Coturnix japonica: one gene and its partners. The protein of the gene in region 5 interacts with the protein of the main gene of each other region in a pairwise test. Links are inferred from orthologs where the notes say so. Each region holds a gene or a part of one and is shown on either strand. Other genes may lie near its edges.

Region 1 (3,518 bases), about 48 Mb from region 5:
CCTCAACTGAAATTGCACTGGGAGGACTTTGGCGTCTTTGCAAAGGGCAACAATGTAAGTCCACGGTGAGTGTCCCTGCCCCCATGTCCCAGCATAGCCAGGCACCAACCCTCCTAACCTTCCCAAGTTCATCGCTGTGTTTGGACCATGGGCATGTGTGACCATCTCGAAATACAGATTTGAAACAAAGTGTAGTCTTGGTACTACAAGATCATTTGGGTTAAATACCTCTCCTTGGTTTAGAATTTGGAAAATTACCAACACATGGATTTGCAAGCACTGTGTTGGAGACATAGTCAGGTAATTAGATACGTAATGGAATACACTGTGCACAGTGTGCTTGCACTGTCAAAATGTGGGCGGGTATATTCAAGCTGAATATTTGACAATCTTGTTCAATCAACCCGTGATTAGATGTTATTTTTAAAATATACCTTTCTTCCTCCCTCCTCTTGTGTTTAATTACTAAAGCCTGCAGACAGGTACTTTTCGAATGAATTGTTTGGACTGCCTGGATCGTACTAACAGCGTACAGTCCTTCATTGCACTGGAGGTAAGTTTATCAAAGGACCTTTCACAGATGCCCATGCTGCATACGTTGTCTGTTGCACAGGAAAGAAGAGAAAGGGGACATAAGCCTCACTGATACAAGTCTTTCTTGCTAGCTCTGTGTTATAGAATGGTGCTAGCTGTAATAACTAAATTGGGAAGAAAAGGCAAAATACATTCAAGAAGAGTGATTTTATTTTATTTTATTTTTCCCTTCCTCCTCCATACCCAGATCCTGCTTACACAACTGGAGATCCTTGGGTTGAACTCTAGATCTATAGTTGAGCGCTTTGTGGAATCGTACAAAGCAATGTGGACTCTCAATGGTCACAATCTGAGCAAAGTGTTCACTGGCAGCCGTGCCCTTGAAGGAAAGCACAAGGTAAAGAAAAGCAGCAAAGCTGTTTACTCAGAAGTGACTGTAAAGAAAGGTATCTGATTTACACCTCGTTGCCTCTTGTGCTGATGATCTTGGTCTGATGTAGGTTGGGAAGCTCAAGGATGGAGCCCGCTCTGTCTCTCGTACCATTCAGTCAAATTTTTTTGATTCAGTAAAGCAGGAAGCCATCAAGCTGCTTCTCATGGGTGACTTCTTCAGTGAGGAATATGCAGACAAGGGAAAGATGCTCATGGATAACACTGCTCTGCTGGGTAAGGCCAGCATAAACCCTTCCTGTTTCTTTTTCTGCCTGGTTTTGACTGTCATTTATAAGCAATTGCATCATTTTATAGAAAAACTACTCTTGCACATGTGTTGTTTAAAACACTTTTTTTTCAAGCTACTGTAGCAGAATCCTGTCTGTTTTAATTTCATTGTGCTTATTTCTCATATTTTGTTTTGGACTTCCAGTGTGTTTATCTGCTGTTTGATGATATTCTTTGATAGTTGAGAGGAGATCGACTGAAAGGGAAGGTTTTTAGGGCTGTATTCCCGGTTTGGTCACTTTGTCCTGGGGAAGTCTCTTGAGCTCAACATTTTTATCTGCTTATTTTAAGTCTGCAGTCTGTATGTGCTCTTAGCCATTTGGGTCTTAAAGGCACATTTATGCTGATTTGTTCTCTGCTTTACTCTGATAGTCCGTAACATATACATAGCTGTTTGCACCCGTCTAGAATCAACCAACCTAGTTCTCTCTGAGAAAAAACGCATGTGCAGAATACAGGATAACCTGCTCCCACAAGCAGTGTCACATTGCCAGTTTGCTCCAGAGACTTACTGGATTTTAACAGGGTAGATATGAGCCATTCAGCTCTGCTGCAGTCCTGAGGGTGTCCCCTTATGGACTACAAGGACAGTGTAGATACCTTCTCTGCATCTGACTACTGGCTATTGAGTAGCTGAAGATTAAGGTTATTACAGCTACTCACATGAAAAAACATGCACTCTTAATTGTCTATACTCATCAAAAATAATGAAAGTAGCAGTTTCCTCTAAGGACTTCTGACTAGGCTAGAGAGCTGTGACAGTGCTAGTTTTGAAGACACGATGTGGGACTCTGTGCTATTTTCTACCTTTCCCTCATCTAAATTTGTTAGGGCTTGGATTTAAGTCATGATTTGTGGCATACTCAGTACAAGCAAAACTGAAAAGATAAAGGGAGGAGAAAAGAATTCATTCAGTGTTACTTGAAGTTCTAGAAAACATATGCTGGAAGTGATTGACTGACTTCTTACAAGTACAGCTGCTTTTGTAAGATGCTTGGAGTCTGGAAGAGAAATTGATAGCATCAGCTTCAATAACCTTACAGTTATTGCCACTGCTACTGGAGATATTCTTTATCTTTTGTATTTTTGCTACTAGGGTGCTGTCATTATTTCATGGTGACTTACATGTCACTGCTCTCTGGATTTTTTCTCTGCTTTTATGGCACATTTTTGTTTTACGTGCTCTTTCCCTCTCTTCTCTTCCATCAGTAACTCCAAGTATTCTGAAGGCCATGTCAGAGCGTCAGTTTGAATTCACAAGCTTCAAGCGTGTTCGTGTTGCCATGGGGACCTGGAATGTGAATGGAGGGAAGCAGTTTCGAAGCAACATCCTTGGTACCAGTGAGCTGACAGACTGGTTGCTGGATTCTCCAAAGCTCTCTGGAGTTTCTGAATTTCAGGGTAAGACTTTAGAGAAAAAAAATGCATTTTGGTATTGCAATAGGTATTGCATTTCTAGGATCTGCAAGTCAGAACACCGGGTTTGACTAGCTGTTCCTTTCAGAGTCAGTGCATCATCCTGAAGGGCATTTTCTGCCAAACCTAAAGGATGTACTCAGCCCCATTTTAGACCTCTACAGTCTATTCTGCATGCCATGTTTTCTTTTGTTCCTCAGTTTCTCCATTCTTGGTTCTTCATTTTGGGTAGAAACTTCATGCTTAGGTGTTCCTGGAATGTATCCTTGTTCTTCATCTTGCCTTTCCTTAGCTGTATAAAAAGTTCCTGTGTTTCTGGCTTGCTTAAGTTAGCCACTGAATTCCATATCTATTGAACAAAGTCAGTTACTATAATTTATTTCCAGATTTTATTAAGAAAAATGAGAAGTGAATGTTCTGTCTTTTGAAAAATGAGTGTTTGCAAAGATATGGCAAAATCTGTGCTTTTGTTGTTACAATGGAATATCTAACCTTCTGCTGGTATCGCAGAGATATTTATGTTCCTGCCCTTCAAGCTCAGGAATTAATTCCTCAGATCCTTGGCTACTTACATAAGCTGTCCTATTTGAACTTGTCCTGGTTTCAGAGACAGAACTCTTAGCTCTTGAGTGTATGGATTTGCAGTTCAGTGCAGACAACAATATTCTGAACAGCTTGGGTGAGTGCTTGGTCCAGTCTCGTTCAGAAGCAGTTTATCTGTATTGGCAAATGGCTGTTCCCATGATATTAAAATTTGATGAGAGCCTGTTATTTGCTGTTCCTGCCAGACTTTCACCTAAATAAACTGGAGGAACAGGACTAATTGGTATTGGCAGTAAGAATGTGGA
Region 2 (2,527 bases), on a different chromosome or scaffold from region 5:
AGGTTCAGCAGTCGGTATACGCAAATGGGAACACAGGAATGTGCAATTGTAGAATTTGAAGAAGTAGATGCTGCTGTGCAGGCTCATGAATTCATGTGTGCTGAAAAGAAAGAGACTGGCATGAAAGTTGTCCTCATCGGCACGAAACCTCCAAAGAAGAAAGTCCCTAAAGACAAGAACCGTGATGAAGATAACAACAAGAGTCTGAAGAAAGTTAGATCCCTTAACAAGAGAGTTGAGGAACTTCAGTTTACTGGTGACGAATCATCAGCAAATAGCTCTTCTGAGCCAGAGAGTAATCCTACATCACCACTCTCAGGACGCAGAAATACTGTGACAAGTACTACAAGCAAGTTGAGTCCCGTCGTGCACCCAAACAACCATCTGAGTCCTAACGTATCACCCAGATCAAGTCCTTGGAACAGTCCATCCTCTCTAAGGAAAGTGACCAAAAAGTCTCCACTGGCTGAAGACAGCAAACTCAACCTGAGCACTAGTCCTGAAATTCCAAGAAAATGCACAGATTATTCCTCAGACAGCAGCATTACACCGTCTGGTAGTCCTTGGGTACAGAGAAGAAAAGCTCAGACTACAACACAAGAGAAGAGTCCGGTCAGTAGCCCCATGCTAGCTCGGAAAATACAAAATGCAGATGGTCTACCCGTAGGGGTGCTGCGGCTGCCCAGAGGTCCTGATGGCACTAAAGGATTCCACAGTGGCTGTGAAAGAAGGAAAGCCATGAAGAATGAATAAATCCTTCCTTAAAAATAATATCACCATTTAGTCAAGTTCTTTTCTTCAGACCTGGTGAAAGACTGTCACTTTAAGTGACTGAGTTGAGTCAGTATTTAATTTCTAAACATTTTATATTCACACTGAGACTTTATCATTTGTATATTTGTATTTTCACTTCATAGAATCACAGGATAGTTACGATTGGAAGGCATCGCTGTTTGAGCAGGGTCAGCCGCACCAGGTCACTGAGCACCACGCTTGGGTTCTGTGCATCTGCAAGTTCTCTGGGTAACCCAACCCCGGCATTCAAACACACACACAATAAAAAAAAATTGTTTCCATATGTTCAGATAGAATTTCCTGTGTTCAGTTTGTGCCCCTTTTCTTTTTACTATGTAACACTGGGGAGAGCCAGGCTACATCTTCATTCATACTAAAATACATTGTTGAGATCTCCCTGAGCCTTTCCCAGTCTGAACAGCTTCATCTCTCTCATCCTCTCCCATGAGATGCTCCAGTACTTCAGCCATTTACACACTTACCTACTGCAGTTCCCTTATCTGCATTTTTCATGTGTTCGCTTGAAATGCCTGAACACTGAAGCACCATCTGGGATCATTAACACAATGACACTATTTGCAAACCTGAAAAGCAGTTTGCCAATGTTTACTGCTCAGCAGTTGTATTACAATAAGCTTGGTATGAATTCCTCTTAAATCCTAACAAATGTAAGTTTTGAAGACCTTCTGGGTTTGTCTCTAACTGAGCAATGTACTCCAGTGAGCAGCTGCTCCCTGCTTGTCCAAACCTCCCAAGTCACTTGTTTAACAGGACCAAAGCGCTTGCTTTCCCGTGATGTGAAAACTCCAAGCATTGAAGGCTGTTTTGTAAGTTTTATCTCGTGTAATCAGATGGAAATAAACGGAATATTAACTTGGTCTAAATCTGCTGCTTTTTCACTTCAAATGTAAGAGATTCTAGAAATAGTTGCTCAGAACTCACAGTTCATTCAGTAACGCGCCCTCTTCCCCCTGCTTCTAATTTCAGGGGTAGAACTCTGTGCTGTAAATAACTGCAGTAACACGTTGCCAGGACTGACTGGCAGAGATCACCAGTTCTGTGCATCATTGTTCAGCTGCCCACATGTATTTTTCTAATATTTTCCTTTGACTTCACACAAATGGAATCCCCCAAGTTGACTCCTGACTTTGATTACTGGCAAAAGCATTGTAAAATACATAATATATGTTAAAATATACATATATATTATTAAAAATTATGTGGTATTTGGTTGTTGTTTTTGTTTTACTTGTTAAATCAACAGCATATCTGCAAGCTTCTAAGAGACAGGTGAGCACACAGCCATCAGATGAGCAGTTCTCTAACTCTAGCTTATGTATAACCACATCATCTCACGGTGCATCCAGACCAGCCCCACTTCACTAATAACCTGTCACCATGAACCTGTGCAGCAGCCACGTGTCACCACGTGCCAGCCTGCTTTTATCAGGACTACAACTGATACGGGGCCATGTTTTGGAGACACCCAGAAATCAATTAAGCAGAAATACTGGGAAGTGTACATAATATTTCATTAGGTTAAAATTCCCAGAGGTACTGGATGTTTGCATGAGAGAAAAAGGCTGGATGCAGTAACTGTACAGCACTGTACCTCGTGATCATTCTATTGTTTACACCAAATTTATATTAAAAAAAAGTCCAAGACAGAAGAAGTCCATACAGCTGCTGCGTTGTATCTGTACTCAGGATTCCTTGCAGGGCCCAGAGTTTC
Region 3 (4,244 bases), on a different chromosome or scaffold from region 5:
AAAGGCCGTGTCAGAGGTGCAGCAGAAGGTTACCTTCTTGCCACGGGGAATGGCAGCAGGCTGGCAGCATGCGTGGCAGTGGCTTCCCGGACTTCATGGGGGCAGTGATTGCTTTGTCTCAGAAGAAATCCTATGGGGCAGGTAAAGGGGGGTTGGTAACGCGGCTGCATTGCAGGAAGGAGGCTCAGCAGCCACAGTGCCACTCCTGATCTCAGCCCGAGCTCTTCCCTAGCAAAACCACCAAACGTGGACCTGCAGCACCCTGTGCTCTGCCCTCCTCACCATCCCGCCTGCCTGGGAACATGAAGGACCTCCAAGATGCTCCAGGTAAAGGTGTGAGCGGAGCAGAGGCAGCTCACTCACAAAGCACAGGAAGCTCAGAGATGAAATGCCAGCTCTGTCCAAGGAGAGGATCTCCATGAAATGGAAATAGCTCAGATTAATGCAAGAACCTGGAAAACACCTCCAGCCGACAGACACGGCACCGGATGCCTCCTGACTATCCCCAGTGCCTGGAAGCACTGTGCCTATGGGATGTCAGCACCTCCAGCCCTGCAGCCACAGCAGCCAGAGCATGAATGAAAGCAAGGAAAAGGAAGCTGGTGTAGATCCTGAATCACGGCAGTGAGGAACCTCATATTCCAAGGTGCAAAAATCCCCGTTTGCAACGTCTGTTCAGGGTGCTGTGTAACACAATCCCACCATCTACCCCCTTCACTGCTTCATATCACACAGTACATTGTCTGAGGATCAGCGTTACATCACTGTGTGGCCTTTCATCCCAATCCCAAACAATGCTGATTTTTCTTTAGAAACACTGAACAGCTCCAGAATTACAAAGGTACTTTCAGGCTACTTTAAGGCTACTTTTAGACACCATTTTACACTCCCCAAACCCCCAGTTCTCAATATACCTGAAGCAAGCAAAAAGCACCCAGCCTTCTTCCAATGTGACACCTCACAGAGCTGCAGCTCACTATGAGCAAACTCCAAGTTAATGGAGAAGCTCATAAATCCTTGTTAGACCGCTCTGCAAACAAAGCTGGGCAAAGGGGGCTGAGAACGCTGCTCCTTCTTTGGGAATGAACACACTCCTCAGGTCTCATGTCACTGAAGGCATTAGCACAGAGCTGTGAGCATCAGCTGGCTAAACGCTTTTATTAATGAAAAACATTAAACTGATGGCAAATCGGATTATAAAACTGATTTATTTAGATCGAGGTGCCCACAAATGATGCCAAGTTACCCGTGACGACGTACCTCAGCTATCTGCAGAACAGGAGACAGCAATTCTTAAGAATTATTTCCCACATTAAAGGAGGAACTAAAAAAGCCTCGAGCGCTGCGACAATTATGGCAATATTCAGCAGTATAAAGACCTGAGGAATCATTTGGAAGCAGGATGACAAACGGCAGCGCACGGAGCTGGTTCAATGTGCTGCTATCCCTGTGCTGGCACCACCTGCTCAGCACCGCACGCATATTAAGCTCCAAGCGGCAGCCAAGATTTGAAGCTGTTCCTGTTTGAAGCCGGCTGTGGGCTCTGCAGGTGGCACTGAAATACAGGAACAAAACTCACCAACCCCTATGAGAGGTCAGAAAGCTGACATGGCTCTATTGCAGCGCTGGGTGCGAGGATGGCACCTCCAAGCTGCACATCCAGGGGTTAAAGCTCACTGATTTCACATGTTTTAGATATGGAAATGTCGATGCATAACCACAACACGACGGCCTCTTCCTAAAATTGCTGTACTTATTAAAAACAGCTGTTGACTACATTCCTAATTAGTACTTCAACCTTGTTATGGTGCCTATACTCAGCCCCAGCAGGGTACAGTGCACATCCCCACAGCCCGTGGAATGCTCAGGCTCTGCTTTTAGGCTCCAGCTGTCCCGCTTATCTGGGAAAAACAACCCTCCCGAGCCACAAGGTCAGTCTGCAGAATAGTCTGTATGAAATGCTGAAGGCTCCGATTTTATTGCCAGGTATCAGAGGCAGCTGAGCCCACCCCGGCAGCTGCACGGGGAGGGAGATGGGGAGGAATGAGAGCGGGCAGGCGATTGGACAGCGGCGATGGGGAAGGAGAAGGCAGCTCCGGGCACAGAACAAAGGCTGCCATTCCCATTCACTACTGAGGATCAGCAGCACCACGGAACGAGCTCTGGACGTGTTACCGAGTGGAAAAGCACAGATCGCAGCCCACGATCTGGCCGCTCAGCTCGGACCCCTCCCCCAAGGGATGACAGCAGCCAACCTCCCTGTACAACGAACCTTCGGCTCCCGGTGCCCTATAGCTCATATCACACACAGCCCAGCGCTTCATACAGAGCCGTTCCCAGCACTCGGTACCGCGCTGCCGCCACATTCCATCCCCACCCCCCGCTCCGCTCGGTACCTGCGCTGAGGAGCTGCATGGCGTGAGTGAAGGACGGGTCCAGGCTGTCCTTCTCGGCCATCAGCTCGGGCAGGTATTTGTTCTCGGGCTCCATCTTGTTGTTTCCCCCTGTCAGCAGCGGGGCGGGGGAGGCGGCGGCGGGGCCTTGCGAGCCAGAGGAGCCTGCCGCCCCTCCGCCGGTCAGCAGCGGCTGCGGCTGCTGGGCCCCACGGCCCCCCCCGCCCCGGGGAGACCGCCGCGGGTTGGGCCCCCCTTGGCGGGATCCCCCGGGTCCCCCCGGCCCGCGGCCCATGCGGGCGTTGGACTCATCGCGGCGCTGCATGCGGGCACGGAGCGGGACGGGCCCGAACGGCGCTGCCACCCCGAGCAGCCGCAGCGACGGGACCGGAAGTGGGAGACCGGAAGTACCGCCCCATCCCTCACAGCGCCCCCACACAGCGCTTCCCGCGCGACCACCCCACGCGCTTCTGCGCATGCGCTGTCGCGCAGCCCCTCGGCTTCACAGGGCGCATGCGCGGCGTGAGAAGGAAGCATTCTCCTTGTGCGCATGCGCAGTGCCGGGCGCGCGATTGGGAGAGCAGCACGTGCGCGGCGCTGTGGCGCCAGGCTCAAGGAGCTTTACGCATGCGCACTGCGGGTCCGACATGGCGGTGCGGGGAGGTGCGATGCGGGACCGGGACCTGGGATATGGGCCTCATGTCTTAGTGCTGCTCTGCCCGGAGCACTGTGTGCTGTGGGCTGGCTGCAGCAATAGGCTTTTATAGGCTGAATATAGGAGCTGCTCTGCTTTAGGGCCATCCCTGCTCCCAGCATTAACAGGAGCACCGGATGTGGATGCGATCACATCCCCATTGCTCCCTGCTGACACAACGTGTTGTTAATCACTGAGCTCTGACACACAGCGTTCGTTCAGCTACAGAACGGACCTGCTGGGCTGCACAGCTCCGTGCTGCGCTGTGCACACGGACGGGAGGGGCCCCGCTGCTGCTTCCTGCGGGCAGAGCACACAGCAGCTCTTGTTCCAGCTGCAGGGCGGGCGCTCCGGGCCCGAACTAACGGGGCACGTGGTTGAGACCGCATCCCTGCCCGGGGCTGTGGCCGGGGCTCGCTGTCTGTCCGTGCTGTCTAACCGGAGCTGCCGTATCAGGACAGGAGGGGATGGGGGGGTTACAGGAGGGCTGTTCCATCGCCCCTCTGCGGGGGGGTGCGCACGTGGTGCGGGCGGACCGGTCCAAGTGCGGCGGGGGGAGGCGGCGGTTAGGGGGAGAGTCGGGCCGTACCAATGCCGGCTGCGTGGGGAGGGTGCGGGGAGCTCCGGCTGCGCAGGGATGAGAGCGGCGGCTCCTCGCGGCTCGGGGACGGGGCTCAACCCGCATCTCGTGTGGCGGAAAACGGCTGCGAGGCTGCGCCGCTCGCACGGCACAGACAGACACGGGATCCCCCCGCGAGGGCACCGAGTGGGCGCTTCCACGCGGGGGGATTGAGGCGGAGCGGGCCGTACCACTGCCGGTTGCGGGGGTGCGTCGCGCCGTGCCAATCAGCGCCGTGCGGGCCGTACCACGGGGCAGGGCGGGGGGGGAGCGGCCTGTGCAGTGTGAGCCGTGTGGCGGCGGGGCTGTGCGCTGTGTCCGCCGCTCGGGCCGCACCGGGGGTCGTTCAGCCTCAGCCCCGTCACGGGCCCCGCCGCTCCCCAACGCCGCCGCCGCCCCTTCCTGCCCCCATCGCGCCCCCCGGCCCGCGGTGTGGGAGGCGCCGGGTCCGCTCGGAAGAACGGCGCCGCGCTCAATGCCCGGGGTGAGGAACCGGGGGGGGCCGGGGTGAGGAGGAGGCCGGGGGAGAACCGAGAGC
Region 4 (3,518 bases), about 81 Mb from region 5:
CTCTTCTTGAAACTGCACTTTTCAAAGGCCAAACTTCAAATCCCTTTGCATAAAGAACGTCCTCCCTGTCTCCATCCTCACTACAAAACCACATGATTTTTCATGTCCTAAAACCGAAGTACATAACTAAACTCAGTCACCCACATTTTCACAGCTTGCATTCTGTAGACTTCATCCACCTTAAACAGTATTTGTCTGTGTGAAAGAGAAGCAAGCTCTGAGTCCTGCCTATTGTTATTTGCAGGTAGACTCAGCGTCTAAATCCACAGTACATACTGAATTTCAAATCAAGTATATCAGAAAATCAAATCTAGCTTTGTTATCTCACTAGCAAAATCCGCAACTCAAAACAGCACACAATATAGGAGCAAGTGTTAAAAAAAACACAGACAACACCAGTTAGTCAGGATGTCTGCTCATGTGATAATTCTCTCTTCAATACAGCCCATTTTACAGCTAAAAAAGAACAATAACTTGTTCTACAAGGATTTATAAATAATCACCCTTGAATTCCTTAAGAAAGGAAACGGACACTATGATGACGCACACGCACTCTTAACATATCAAAGCTTTAAAAATAGAAGAGCACTGCTCTATAGATAAATAAAATGCCCGGAGTTTCCAATCTTGGTACCACCTAGCCTAGCCACTATTAAGTGAGTATCAGGAAAAGGAGGAGATAATCAACGCAGAACACATTAAAACTAGTAAAATCCGCCACAATATGCAAATAGGACAAGAATCTGAATTTCCAATGGAAGGGCAGCTTCCCTCAGGTTGAAATACAAGGAAAGCTATTGTGCTGAGGAGCCTCCTTCCCAGCTTGGCTGCTCCAGCCCAGGACTATGTGGGCTGCCTGCCTTCCCTTCTCGGGCCTGGATCCCAGCAGAGTGGCTGTGTTACAGCTCAGCTGCCAGGAAGCCTCTATTCTACAATAAAACAGAACAGTCTGCTGAAAAGCTGTTTTGTGTCTTATCTTGAAGGTGAAGATGGAAAAGCAAAAGGTCATACACACCTATCTACTGCCTCCCATGGATCTTTACATATGACAGAAAAGCATAGACATGAACTGAGTGCCCACTGACTTCAATAACCAACTACCTCAACTTCAGCTACTTCCAACAAATTGGCACAACCTCTGCAATTCCATCTGTATTGACTCTTTATAGGATGTGAGCCACAAGAAGAACATCTTAGAAAAGGTTCACAGCTACTCCAAAAAAAAAAAACAAAAACAAAACAGTCTTTGGATAGATCCAGGACTAGCATAACCAAACTGCATCTGAGATCAGACACCAGAGAAGTCACAGCCTGCCATTCCAGCCTAAGTCAGTGCTGTTCTTTAAAGACTCCAATCACACATGCACAGCCCTATTGTGGGCCAAAAAAAGAACCAACAACAATCTGCAGCTATGTGGCTACGTACCACAGGGATAGCCATCTTCCTACATTTCAGAGCAGAAGAGCAGCTCTGCACTCAGTCGCGCGCAAACAGAAGAAAAGGGTTACTATGGAAAGTGGCTGACCTCCTCACTGCATCTCACAAAATGCAACAAAACACTGAATGATTTATGTAGGAAATGGACCTCATTTCCTGTACAAAAGCCTTTTTTTGCTGAGTCACTAAATCTCTATTCTTTTGTTTCCCTGGAAAAGACAGCAAAGAGCAGCTAAAACGACTACATTTCACCCCCATAGAAAGCCAGCTCTAAAAAAGAAGGCATACAATGCAAGATAAGGATTTGGAGAAATGACGTACAGCTTAGCAATTCAGCATCAGATCCACGTATGTCATTCTCACATCTCTAAGGTTACAAAGATTAACTGAATTCATCACAGGACAACCTGTTTGAATGCGGTTAACCCATGTGTCAAATGCAAAAAGCAACACAAGAGATGTATTTCAACAAGCCATATGTTCTTCAAAAACAGGCGGCCCTGCTGTGTTAAGGAACTGCAGAAGACAGCTCACAGCTCACTGTACAGACAACGCATAGAGAATGCTACTGGTGACCAGGCCAGGGGTACAGCAAGAATCCTCTGCACACAGAAAGGGCAATCTTCAATGGGATGCAAGCTGCCCAAAGTACAGTGAATGCATACAAGGGCACTAAAAGGAATACGCCTCCTGCTAGCTCTCTGCCAATTACAATTTCAGCTTTTTAAATAATCCTCTTCCTTTCTCCAGAGTGGAATTGTTCTACTTTAACTTCCAAAAAGACTAAATTATGCCATAGATCATGCCAATGGCTTGAAGTTGATAAAAGAAAATGAAGTCAGATACAAAACTGCTCTGGTAAAAACTGCCAGCAAGATATTGCATTTGTGTTTCTAATAAGTGATAGGAAAGCTAAGCTGAAGGAAGTGCAGAGAGGGGCAATAAAAGCAGCAGAGTGAACAGATTTCCAATCACTTAAAGAATAAAACAAAGAAGTACTACAAAACACTAATCATATTCTGCTTATTCCAAGCCTCTTCTAAACAAACATTCCGGTTCCATACTGGACTCTGAGACTGAGCTGCAGAACTACTTATCAGAGTAAGGATAGACAGACAGAAAAAAAACTACAGCTGAATAAGAGAAGTACTTACATCAAGATGAATACAGGTTCAGAATAACAGCCCATAGTGGAAAAGTAGTGGAAAAATCAAAGATGAAAAAGACTGGGGGGGGAGGGGTGGGAAAAGCCCATGTTCTTCAGCACTGCTTAGAAAAATCCTGGAAAACTATGCAGAAACGCTACACACACATGCTGAGGTTGGACTGGATGAGCCATTCGCTTTCACATAAATGCCATTCATCACACAAATGTATCTTCAACACAAGTAGAAACCTTTACGTAAATGTCATAATTCAAATCCTTAAATTTGGACAAGGTAAAAACTACTCAAGCCACTGCTTTAAGGAAGCTGGTATTTGCTCTATGCGTTACATGTCAACACAGACATAGGTAGTAGTTTACAAAGTACAACCCTTAACTGAAGAAACCAAGCACACAGTTCTCATCTGCAGAGCTAGCGCTGTGTGTGCCACCTCGTCTCACAAATCTCAAGGGAAGGCAATTCTTGCAGCCTACAGGAAAAAGTGCTGTCTGGAGCTCAGTTCCTGCTGGATCCTGCCCCCCACCATCCCATGCAGGAGAGTAACCAGACACATGTGCAGATCTCACTACGGTCAGTCAAACTGGATTCATTTCCAGCTGCTGCAGCCACAGAGGTGCAAATTTAGAATTCCAAACCTTAACTCAAAAAGCATTTCAGAATATGTACCACTGAGCATGTTTGTTTTCCACACATAGTCTGCATTTTGCTGTACTTAATAAGGAAAACAAGAAGCATAAACTAATCATCACCTGTTCTGGTTATGAAGTGCCTCACCTGCATACATGTGGTAAGTCAGCCTCTCAATAAGTTTGACAACAGTTCCTGCCTTGATGATGGGGATTCCGGATTTGGGCTGCATGTTTTCTTCAAACACAATATTCTCTTCTGAGTCAGGTTCTGCAAATCTGTAAAGC
Region 5 (3,518 bases):
AGGTTACCCTTGTCAGCATCATTTCTTCTGCCCAGAGAGCTACTGACACAGCTTGAGAGAAGAACTACCTAAGGAGAACCTTGTTAGGGAGGTCTGCCTCATGGGGATGACCAGTGAGCCCCAGGAGTACAAAAGGTGGTCCATATAACAGAGTTTACATTTGAGGGGAAAGCAGAATTGTCACAAGCCTCAAACCTCTGTGAGTAAACCCAATTTGTTCCCATTCAAATACCCTTACATTCAACTGGCCAGGAGAGACAGTGGGAGATGTGTTTGTCAACAGAAGCACTGCAATATTCACGCCAACCAAGTAGGGGTGACACCTGCTCTTCAGTGACTGCTGCTGGCTGGCCCTGTCAATGCAATCTCAAAGGACAACTCTCGTCACACAGCCACAATCCGAAGGCTGAGAACAAGACAACCTAATGATCTATCAGCAAACAAAGAGAAAGACTATCACGTCAAATGTTTCCAATTGCAGTTTGATCTCAGGACTGCTTCTGTTGAAAACTGATGTGCAACCATCCTGCACTCATCACATCCAGCTACTCAAGTCACTGATGTGATAAGCAAAGATCCTCCTCATTTTTGAAAAATTCTGGAGTGTTTAATCACAGAATGGCCTGGGTTGAAAAGGACCACAATGATCATCCAGTTTCAACCCCCTGCTGTGTGCAGGGTCGCCAACCTGCAGACCAGGCTGCCCAGAGCCACATCCAGCCTGGCCTTGAATGCCTGCAGGGATGGGGCATCCACAGCCTCCTTGGGCAACCTGTTCAGTGTGTCACCACCCTCTGGGTGAAAAACTCAGCCAGAACCTTAATTTCATGGCCTGGCTGGATGCAGTCCGTGCTATTTTATCCAAATTGTAAGCAAACAAAAGATTTCTAAAGAAATAGATCAATCTTTAGATGAGCCCAATCAAAAGTTGTTTAGGTTCAGTCTAAATGCAGCATTTTTTGACATCATCAAAAACATTTAGAATACATGAAATAAGAATGCGTTACCTGGAACATTAGCACAGATGTAATTTAACTACAAATAAAACCTGAATAGGGCATTCTAGCCAGGTACGACAGCTACTGGGGGGACAACCCAAGCTGGACCTACATCATCACACCTGGGAATTCTTCTCTAACAACCACACTAAGTTCATCTAATCTCAAGCGCAAGCTGCTCCCACAGACCAGCTGCAGGTTTTTAAGGGTATACCTCAACCAGAATTCCAGATGTATGCTTTTATACTGCAAAAAATGCGCATGATGCCTAGTGGAAAAAACAGCAAGGGAAAGGATGTGGCTTGCTAAGTGAAAGGGACAACTTTCACATCACCTACCCAAACCCTAAATGGGGCTCCGAAAGCCACGAATGTCGCGGGCTGATGGAACGCTGATTTAATTCAAGTGCCCAAGGATGGAAAGCTGAAGGAGGAGTAAGAGCAGAGCTCATTTTCTCTGAGGAAAGCTGACAAAAGAAACGGCAACTAAAAACACCCAAACGGGTGGGTGAGGAACCAGAAACATTTCCTATATTTACATGCAAAAAAAGATCTGACCTTCAGACAGGCAAATGTTCTGGAATTACAGAATATTCCTACAATGAAGCATAATACACCTGCACTGGCTTCTGGTCAGTACAAGCTATCAAACACGAGATAGCTGTACACCAGCTGCTCTTTAGGTGGACACCTACTGGATGTTTTGCTCCAGCTCACCCTCACACTCTCACTACTGCAGTCTGGCTGGTTGGTAATCTGATGGTTATTTGTAGGTTAAATAGAGTAATAAAGTATTTAAAAGAGCATTTAAAATCCCAATAACTTTGGTTGGTGCTCCAAGCTGAAAGCAAAAAAAACAGTAATGCACTTTGGAAAGAAAGAAGCAAAATGGTTTTTAATAAAATAGTTGCTTACACTGCTGACTCGGATCAGAATCTGTGGTCATCTTCACGTAGTTGGAAGGGAAGAGACCTGTCACACCATTGATTTCTCCTTGCCACCAGTCAGCATCATCTTTGCTCAGCACGTTGATGAGCTGCCCTTTGGAGAAGCTGAGCTCGTCTTCATTGTTTGCCATGTAATCATACATTGCTATTACTTGGCACACTACGAAGAAAAAGCAGAGTTAGCAGAATGCTGTGACATGAAGCATTAAGGCAGTTTTTCAGTATTTTGTGTAGATATGGCAAAGAAACAACAACTTCACATCAAGTGCTACAGAAAAACACCAGACATGATCACAGCTTGCTATGGAATCAAATGGCAAGAAGGGGCTTCCAAGCGAGGTGAGTGTGGCTCTGCAACGCAGGCAGAAAAGTTTAAAAGCTTTATAAAGTAGTATAAGGTGGGGCAGGGAGCCCATGAAGGACTGCTGAAAGCAAATGGGAGATTCTCCCTTTTGTGGACAGAAATAATATCTGAATGGACACATATGCCAAAAGACTCGGATTTGGACTAGGACTTCACCTTGTACAGCAAAGCACAGTCAGATAAGGCTATGAAACACAGTGTTAATTCAAATTAGTATGTGAACAAAGTAGTTCAATAATATACTCTAAACGAAATACAAATAAGACCATTTTTTTTTCACCTGAGTGGGCAGCAGATGTGGTTCGCTCGCTGCTCGGACCCAGTAACTTCACATGGCTGGCAGGGAACCATCCTTTCTGTCTCTTTTTCCCTCTTGCCTGTTGAAATGGGTATAATACAGTCAAGAAACAAAACAGCATAAGGACTGGAAAAGCACAACAGATGTATCACACAGTTCTGCCTAAGGAAAACAAAGCTGGTCTTCCAACAGCAATTAAGCACTAAGTATCTCAGAAGGTAAGATCTGACTGAAGGATGAAACAACCAAACTCAAATAAAGCTGCGTCTCGACTTGCTCTGACAAATACGTACATTCAAAGGTTTTAAGAGCAGCTAATCATTTCACAGTAGGGCTGCACATCTGCTCTAAGAAAATTCCACTTGCACATCAATTTAAGAGTCTCTAACGAGGAACTGCAGCTTTCCAAGCAGCTTTCAGTGTGCTCTACTCACTTGTTCATTTCAAGTTAAACCAAAGAACCCCTCAATGCTGCTTGTCAAGTCAGGATTCCTGTTCCTCCAACCACTCACCTGCAGCTCTCCTTGCCACCATCCACTAGCATTTTTCTTCAGGATAAGAATGAGCTGCCCGGGAGCAAGACTAAGTTGTTCACTTCCTGATGCAGCATAAGCAGTAGTTACCTGAGCAATTTCTGAAAAGAAGGGATATTAATTGTCTTTGGTATATTTTCACTACAATAAGAGCTATTTCTAAAGAAGAAAGTTGGTATTTATCTTGCAGGTAAGCACACTGGCAGACCTTAAAACACTTCCATGAACACACGTGCTTTATTAATCACTTCAAACACAGTCCAAAACGTTGAGAAGTTATAATGTACTCACCAGGTTTCTTATTTATTGTTCCAGCTTTGCCAGCATTACTAGAACCCTGTAACAAAGACACAACAATATTCTTTGCATGTTTAATAAA

What was found.
Region 1: the proteins of ITSN2 (region 5) and SYNJ2 interact in a two-hybrid assay, tested with the Homo sapiens proteins (2 studies listed by BioGRID and IntAct). The link is inferred for Coturnix japonica from reciprocal best matches to the Homo sapiens genes ITSN2 and SYNJ2.
Region 2: the proteins of ITSN2 (region 5) and LARP6 interact in a two-hybrid assay, tested with the Homo sapiens proteins (2 studies listed by BioGRID, with this or other methods). The link is inferred for Coturnix japonica from reciprocal best matches to the Homo sapiens genes ITSN2 and LARP6.
Region 3: the proteins of ITSN2 (region 5) and KHDRBS1 interact in a two-hybrid assay, tested with the Homo sapiens proteins (2 studies listed by BioGRID and IntAct, with this or other methods). The link is inferred for Coturnix japonica from reciprocal best matches to the Homo sapiens genes ITSN2 and KHDRBS1.
Region 4: the proteins of ITSN2 (region 5) and SOS1 interact in a two-hybrid assay, tested with the Homo sapiens proteins (2 studies listed by BioGRID and IntAct). The link is inferred for Coturnix japonica from reciprocal best matches to the Homo sapiens genes ITSN2 and SOS1.

What each region holds. Positions count from the first base shown.
Region 1 is NC_029518.1:46,858,841-46,862,358, forward strand, and holds part of SYNJ2 (synaptojanin-2), read left to right. Parts: coding exon 1-65; intron 66-471; coding exon 472-553; intron 554-781; coding exon 782-931; intron 932-1,034; coding exon 1,035-1,200; intron 1,201-2,463; coding exon 2,464-2,655; intron 2,656-3,518. UniProt on the Homo sapiens protein: Inositol 5-phosphatase which may be involved in distinct membrane trafficking and signal transduction pathways. May mediate the inhibitory effect of Rac1 on endocytosis.
Region 2 is NC_029525.1:5,279,615-5,282,141, reverse strand, and holds the end of LARP6 (la-related protein 6), read left to right. Parts: coding exon 1-753; 3' UTR 754-2,021; downstream 2,022-2,527. UniProt on the Homo sapiens protein: Regulates the coordinated translation of type I collagen alpha-1 and alpha-2 mRNAs, CO1A1 and CO1A2. Stabilizes mRNAs through high-affinity binding of a stem-loop structure in their 5' UTR.
Region 3 is NC_029538.1:4,465,997-4,470,240, reverse strand, and holds the start of KHDRBS1 (KH domain-containing, RNA-binding, signal transduction-associated protein 1), read right to left. Parts: upstream 2,808-4,244; 5' UTR 2,719-2,807; coding exon 2,397-2,718; intron 131-2,396; exon of another isoform or gene 98-130; coding exon of another isoform or gene 34-97; intron 1-33. Other genes in the region: PTP4A2 (protein tyrosine phosphatase type IVA 2), read left to right, coding at 3,679-4,190. UniProt on the Homo sapiens protein: Recruited and tyrosine phosphorylated by several receptor systems, for example the T-cell, leptin and insulin receptors. Once phosphorylated, functions as an adapter protein in signal transduction cascades by binding to SH2 and SH3 domain-containing proteins.
Region 4 is NC_029518.1:14,475,690-14,479,207, forward strand, and holds part of SOS1 (son of sevenless homolog 1), read right to left. Parts: coding exon 3,379-3,518; intron 1-3,378.
Region 5 is NC_029518.1:95,161,011-95,164,528, forward strand, and holds part of ITSN2 (intersectin-2), read right to left. Parts: intron 3,477-3,518; coding exon 3,431-3,476; intron 3,241-3,430; coding exon 3,119-3,240; intron 2,686-3,118; coding exon 2,589-2,685; intron 2,105-2,588; coding exon 1,913-2,104; intron 1-1,912.